Linked DNA regions of Anolis sagrei. The protein of the gene in region 1 purifies or fractionates together with the protein of each later gene. This does not show direct contact. Links are inferred from orthologs where the notes say so. Each region holds a gene or a part of one and is shown on either strand. Other genes may lie near its edges.

What was found. Proteins that work in one complex are often made in the same cells at the same time.
Region 2: the proteins of PPP4R2 (region 1) and CCDC6 purify together in Homo sapiens (co-immunoprecipitation; 3 studies listed by BioGRID and IntAct, counting the BioPlex papers as one, with this or other methods). This does not show direct contact. The link is inferred for Anolis sagrei from reciprocal best matches to the Homo sapiens genes PPP4R2 and CCDC6.

Annotation. Positions count from the first base shown.
Region 1 is NC_090022.1:40,801,866-40,805,615, forward strand, and holds the start of PPP4R2 (serine/threonine-protein phosphatase 4 regulatory subunit 2), read left to right. Parts: upstream 1-1,478; 5' UTR 1,479-1,776; coding exon 1,777-1,810; intron 1,811-3,750. UniProt on the Homo sapiens protein: Regulatory subunit of serine/threonine-protein phosphatase 4 (PP4). May regulate the activity of PPP4C at centrosomal microtubule organizing centers.
Region 2 is NC_090023.1:164,696,492-164,700,241, reverse strand, and holds the start of CCDC6 (coiled-coil domain-containing protein 6), read left to right. Parts: upstream 1-1,352; 5' UTR 1,353-1,579; coding exon 1,580-1,897; intron 1,898-3,750.

The sequences.
Region 1 (3,750 bases):
CCCCCAAACTTTGGTATATTTTGGAATATTTCTAATAAAAATCATTTATAAAAGAAAAAAGAAAAAAAAGAGAGGGACTCCCCCCCTGGGCACACAGAGGACTGGGAGGCTCGGAAGGCGCTGAACAGACTGCGCTCTGGCACCACGAGATGCAGAGCCAACCTTCAGAAATGGGGCTACAAAGTGGAATCCTCGACATGCGAGTGTGGAAAGGAGCAAACCACTGACCACCTGCTGCAATGCAACCTGAGCCCTGCTACATGCACAATGGAGGACGTTCTTGCAGCAACACCAGAAGCACTCCCAGTGGCCAGATACTGGTCAAAGGACATTTAATCAACCATCAAACACACACATTCTGTATTTTGTCTGTTTGTTTTGTTAGAAATGTAATATAATTTGACTGGTTGTCCTGACATGACAAATAAATAAATAAAGGCTAAAAGTGATATTAGATTTCTTTTCTGATAAAATAAAATACTTTATTAGTGGTACTAGCCGTTCCCTGCCATGAGTTGCTGTGTATGTTTTGTGTGTGTATATATTTGTGTATATATGTGGTTTTGTGCATGCATTGTAATTTTTTTTTTGCTTTTTAAGTCTCTTCTGCTGTGTTTTTCAGTGTTTTTTATGAGTGATGGTCACCCGTTGGCCTGATAGGTGTCCTGTGTCCAAATTTGGTGTCAATTCGCCCAGTGGTTTCTGAGTTATGTTAATCCCACAAATGAACATTACCGGCTGTTAGGAATGGTGGGAGTTTAAGTCCAAAACACCTGGAGGGCCCAAGTTTGCCCATGTCTGATCAACAATGTAGAATTAATGCAGTTTGATACCACTTTATCTGCCATGGCATCTTAGGAGTCATAATTGAGTGAGGCATCAGGAGTCTTTGGCAGAGAAGGACTCCCAGGATTGCACAGCATTAGGCCATGACAGTTAAAAGTGGTGCCAAACTGCATTAAACGTACAGTGTAGATGCACTCATGCTTACTTGCCACAATTATATCAAAGTTGCTGTCAAAATATCTAACTTTTTGCTCAAATGTATGTTGAAAGGCGTCGACAGTCTCACCTCATGGGCTCCCTCAAAACATACACCTTCTCTCTTCTCTCTCCTCAGACTGAATGAAGAAAGGAAGAAACCTGGCTTTCAGTCGAAGCGTGACGTCACCGGGAGTGGGCGGGACTTAAAAAAGAGAAGGCATCTCCTCTCGAATCCAGTTTCCACCGAAGCGTGACGTCACCCGAAGTGGGCGGAGCAGAGAGAAAAAGTCAGTTTGAAAAAAAAAAAAAAGAAGGAAGACTTCTCTCGGCCAATCCCAACTCGAGCTATTCCTTCAGGCTTTCAATCATTCTCGGGCTGTGACGTCACCACCTTCTCCTCGCGCGCCTCTGCGTGCCGGCGGGAAGAGGCGAAGCTTGTTTTTTTTCGCGGTGTGGTGTGCGTGCGTGCTTGCGTGCGTGCGCGCGCAGCAAGCGGCGGCGGCGGCGCGCACGGCGGCGGCTTGGGCGCCATGTTGGAAGGTTGCTGAGCCCGGCCGCCGGGGGTTTTGCCTCTCTCTCTGTGTCTCTCTCTTTTTGAGTGTGTGTTTCCTCTCTCTTTCCTTTCTCTTGGGAGTCTTTCGCCTCTCGGTCGTTCCCCTCTCTCTTTCTCGCTCTCGGAGTGGCTGAGGCTGAAGAAATATCTCCCCTGTGCTGCTTCTGGAGGCCTGTTCCTTGTGTGAGGGCCCGAGGGGCAGGAGGAGGAGGAGGAGGAGGAAGAGGTAGCTGCGGACCATGGATGTTGAGAGGCTGCAGGAGGCACTGAAAGGTGTGTGAGAGGGTTGTGGGGGTTGGTTGGCTCTGGGGAGAGGGTTCCAGGTTACCTTGAGGTCATACGGAAAGGGAAGAGGACACTGCCCTCAGGAATGGGGGACACGAGGCCTGGGCTTCGCTTTGGTGTACTTGGGAGATCCCATCAATCCCTATTATTATTATAGATTGAGCATCCCTTATCTGACTAGCTGAGGGTGCATCTACGCCAGTCATGGGCCAAGTTGGGCCTTCCAGGTGTTTTGGACTTCAACTCCCACAATTCCTAACAGCCTCAGGCTGTTAGGAATTGTGGGAGTTGAAGTCCAAACACCGGAAGGGCCCAACTTAGCCCATACTTGACCTACACAATAGAAGGAATGCAGCCTGACACCATTTTAACTGCCATGGTTCAAGGCTGTGGAATCCTGGGAGTTGTAGTTTGGCAAGGCCTTTAGCCTTCTCTTTCAAAGACTGCTGCTGCCTCACTAGACTACAACTCCTACCATGCCAATCTGTGGAATCCTGGGAGTTGTAGTTTGGCAAGGCCTTCTCTGTCAAAGACTGCTGGTGCCTCACTACACTACAACTCCTTCCATGCCAATCTGTGCTTTAGTTCCACATCGTAGATGGCTCAAGGATGTGGAGTCATGGGAGGTATAGTTTTGTAAGGTGGTTAAGCCTTCCCTGCTGAAAAATGTTTCTGCTGCCTCACAAAAGTACACATCTCAAGATACAGTTTGAAACCACAAAGCTTAACAAGCAGTTTGACTCCACTTGAAATTGCCATGGCTCATTACTATGGAATCATGGGAGGCCGAAGATCTTGTGAAACGACACCTTCCATAGTGGGTTGTTGTAGGTTTTCTGGGCTATATGGCCATGTTCTAGAGGCATTTTTTCTTGATGTTTCGCCTGCATCTATGGCAAGCACCCTCTGAGGATGCTTGCATAGAATCATAGAATCAAAGAGTTGGAAGAGACCTCATGGGCTATCCAGTCCAACCCCCTGCCAAAAAGCAGGAATATTGCATTCAAATCACCCCTGCAGGCGAAACGTCAGGAGAAAATGCCTCTAGAACATGGCCATATAGCACGGAAAAACCTACAACAACCCAGTGATTCCGGCCATGAAAGCCTTCGACAATACACCTTCCATAGTGTTGAGCCATGGCAATTTCAAGTGGAGTCGAACTGTATGTTGAGATTTGTGGTTTAGTGAGGCACCAAAAACACTCTTCAGCAGGGAAGGCCTTACAAAACTACACCTCCATGATTCCATAGGATTGAGACATAACAATTTCAAGTGGAGTCGAACTGTATCTTGAGATTTGTGGTTTAGTGAGGCACCAAAAACACTCTTCGGCAGGGAAGGCTTAAAGGCCTTACAAAACTACACCTCCCATGATTCCATAGTATCGAGCCATGGCAATTTCAAGTGGAGTCGAACTGTATCTTGAGATTTGTGGTTTAGTGAGGCACCAAAAACACTCTTCGGCAGGGAAGGCTTAAAGGCCTTACAAAACTACACCTCCATTATTCCATAGGATTGAGCTGTGGCAATTTCACAAGATCTTCTGCCTTCTTTGTCAGAGAGTGTTACCAAGATACAATTCCCACTATTCCATAGCATTGCACTATTGCAGTTGAAATGGTGTCAGTGTATGCACTCTGAGATCCTGAAACTTTTGCCAGCCCACGAATCTCAAGATACAGTTTGACCCCACTTGAAAATGCCGTGGATCAATGTTATGGAATCATGGAAGGTGTCGTTTCACAAGATCTTCAGCATTCTCTGCCAAAGAGTGTTGGTGCCTCACCAAACTACAACTCCCATGATTCCATAGCTTTGCACCATGGCAGTTGAAATGGTGTCAGACTGCACTGATTCCACAGTGTATGCTCTCTGAGATCCTGACACCTTTGCTTTCTGAGGGTACAATACACACAAATGTTGTT
Region 2 (3,750 bases), on another chromosome or scaffold:
GCTTGGTATGCCCATCCCACCAAGAACTTGCCACAATTTATTATGATCCACACAGTCAAAGGCTTTAGAATAGTCAATGAAGCAGAAGTAGATGTTTTTCTGAAACTCCCTGCCTTTCTCCATTATCCAGCGGATATTGGCAATCTGGTCTCTCGTTCCTCTGCCTTTTCTAAACCCAGCTTGAACATCTGGCAACTCTCGCTCCATGTAAACCAACCAAGAAGGCAAAATGGTTGTCTGCTGAGACACTGGTAGTAGCCCAAGAAAGGAGGAAAGCAAAAGGAAACAGTGAAAAGGGGAGATATGCCCAGTTAAATGCGCAATTCCAGAGGTTAGCCAGAAGAGATAAGGAACTATTTTTAAATAAGCAATGCATGGAAGTGGAAGAAGACAACAGAATAGGAAGGACAAGAGACCTCTTCCAGAAAATTAGAAACATTGGAGGTAAATTTCAGGCAAAAATTGATATGATAAGAAACAAAGATGGCAGGGACCTAACAGAAGCTGAAGAGATCAAGAGAAGGTGGCGAGACTATACAGAAGATCTGTATAGGAAGGATAACAATATCGAGGATAGCTTTGACGGTGTGGTGAATGAATTAGAACCAGACATCCTGAGGAGTGAGGTTGAATGGGCCTTAAGAAGCATTGCTAACAACAAGGCAGCAGGAGATGATGGGATCCCAGCTGAACTGTTTAAAATCTTAAAAGATGATGCTGTCAAGGTGATGCATGCCATTTGCCAGCAAATATGGAAAACACAAGAATGGCCATCAGACTGGAAAAAATCAACTTATATCCCCATACCAAAAAAGGGAAATGCGAAAGACTGCTCAAACTTCCGTACAGTGGCCCTTATTTCTCATGCCAGTAAGGTAATGCTCAAGATCCTACAAGGAAGACTCCAGCAGAGGGCAGAGCAACCTTCAATAGCCTGCTCCACCCCTGTCAACCACCTCCACCAAGTCTGGCCTCCTTAATGAGAGCATTCAACACACACACACACCCCAACTTGGTTGCTTCACTACATCGGCTATTGCTGCAAGTAATGACAGTGTGAATAAATTGTCAATATTTGCTTGAGATAGTGCTTACAGTTCTGGAGGGACTCTTAATTTTTTGCATTTCATAGACTTAGCATGGGGATTTGGTTAACCAGTTAAAATTCATGAGTAAAGCAGGTTTTTTTAAAAAAAAATTGAAACATTTCGGGGGGGGGGGTTGAACCCCTAAAACCATCCCCTCGCTACAGGCCTGGGTGGTGGTGATGTCTGAGGTCTCCTTTTGGCGGAGCTGGTGCTGCAGTGCCACCATTGGCGGGTGGCGGCGCTGTGGGTAGGGCGCGAGGCGGGCGCGAGGCGGCGCCGGCCTTGGCTTCTCGGCGCCGAGCGCGCGCGGCTTCCCAAGGCGCCGGGAGCATGCGCAGTGGTGGTTCTCCTCCTCCTTCTCCTCAGCGGCGAGCTCCTCCTCCGGCCCTGGCTGCAGCCCGCGGAGCGGCGAGGCGAGGCGAGGGAAAGAGGCAGGCGGAGGCGAGGCCGAGCCCAAGGCGCTCTCGGAGCGGCCCCGCGCTCCCTCCAGGATGGCCGACAGCGCCAGCGAGAGCGACACGGACGGCGGGGGCGGCGTGGGGGCTCCGGGCGGGGCGGCGCCGCCGGGCTGCCCGTCCTCCTCGCCGTCCTCCTCCTCCTCTTCCTCGGCGGCGACCTCGTCCTCGGCGGGCCCCCCCAAGGCGGGCGGCATCGTGATCTCTCCCTTCCGCCTGGAGGAGCTGACCAACCGGCTGGCCTCCTTGCAGCAGGAGAACAAGGTGCTCAAGATCGAGCTGGAGACCTACAAGCTCAAGTGCAAGGCGCTCCAGGAGGAGAACCGCGACCTCCGCAAGGCCAGCGTCACCATCGTGAGTGCGGGGGGGGGGGCAGGGGAGGGAGGGGCGCGGTTGCCAGGGAAACGGAGCTGGGGAGGGAGGGGCCTCTCCTCAGGTGAAACCTTTTGCTCTTCCTGCCGTGGCTCTGGAATCCTGGGAGCTGTAGTTTTGCAAGGCCTTGACCCAAACACCTCCCCCCAAGATTCATAGAATCATAGAACCGTAGAGTTGGAAGAGACCTCCTGGGCCATCCAGTCCAACCCCCTGCCAAGAAGCAGGAATATTGCATTCAAATCACCCCTGACAGATGGCCATCCAGCCTCTGTTTAAAAGCTTCCAAAGAAGGAGCCTCCACCACTCTCCGGGGCAGAGAGTTCCACTGCTGAACGGCTCTCACCCCACCAAACCCTTCCAGTATTTTCTGTTGGTCATGGGAGAACTGTGTGCCAAGTTTGGTTCAATTCCATCTTTGGTGGGGATCAGAATGTTCTTTGATTGTAGGTGAACTATACATCCCAGCAACTACAACTCCCAAATGACAAAATCAAATTTTTTGAGTGAAGGACATACATTAGGTTGTTAGGTGTCCAAATTTAGTGTCAATTCGTCCAGTGGTTTTTGAGTTCTGTTAATCCCACAAACAAACATTACATTACATCTTAACACCTCTCAACAGGGGATTTTCCCAGGCTCAGCCAGGCCTTCAAATGCTAATGAAGGTGATCAGTTGAAACATTCACACCTAGCTCCAGCAGGGAAGAGCTCCTTGCCCCACCCCAGCCATTCCACAGATATATAAACCCATTGTCCTAATTCCAACAGACCTCACTACCTCTGAGGATGCTTGCCATAGATGCAGGCAAAACGTCAGGAGAAATGCCTCCAGAACATGGCCCTATAGCCCGAAAAAAAAACCCCACAAGAACCTAGAGATTCCAGCCATGAAAGCCTTCGACAATACATTACATTTTTATTTATATAGATTGCTCTTAGGATCAGATCCTGGGATATAGGGCCTGTCTGGAAGTGTTATGGGCAAGCTGTTGTTTATTTCTAGGGCAGCAGAATCAATGCAGTCTGACAAACACACACACACAATGAACTGCCATGAATCTACAAACTACAAGAGAGGAGATTCCATCTGAACACGAGGAAGAACTTCCTGACTGTGAGAGCCGTTCAGCAGTGGAACTCTCTGCCCCGGAGTGTGGTGGAGGCTCCTTCTTTGGAAGCTGAACGGCTCTCACAGTCAGGAAGTTCTCATGTTCAGATGGAATCTCCTCTCTTGTAGTTTGTAGATTCATGGCAGTTCATTGTGTGTGTGTGTTTGTCAGACTGCATTAATTCTGCAGCCCTAGAAAGAAACAACTGCTTGCCCATAACACTTCCAGACAGGCCCTATATCCCAGGATCTGATCCTAAGAGCAATCTATATAAATAAAAAGGTAATGTTTGTTTGTGGGATTAACAGAACTCAAAAACCACTGGAAGAATTGACACCAAATTTCGACACCTAACAACCTAACGTATGTCCTTCACTCAAAAAAAATTGATTTTGTCATTTGGGAGTTGTAGTTGCTGGGATTTATAGTTCACCTGCAATCAAAGAGCATTCTGAACTCGACCAACGATGAAATCAAACCAAACTTGGTACACAGAACTCCATAACCAACAGAAAATATGGGAAGGGTTTGGTGGGCATTGATCTTGAGATTTGGAGTTGTAGTTCACCTACATCCAGAGAGTACTGTGGACTCAAACAAGGATCTGGACCAAAGTTGGCACAGATACTCAATATTCCCTAGTGTGAACACAGGTGCAGTTTGGGAAAAACAGACCTTGACATTTGGGAGTTGTAGTTGCTGGGATTTATAGTTCACCTATAA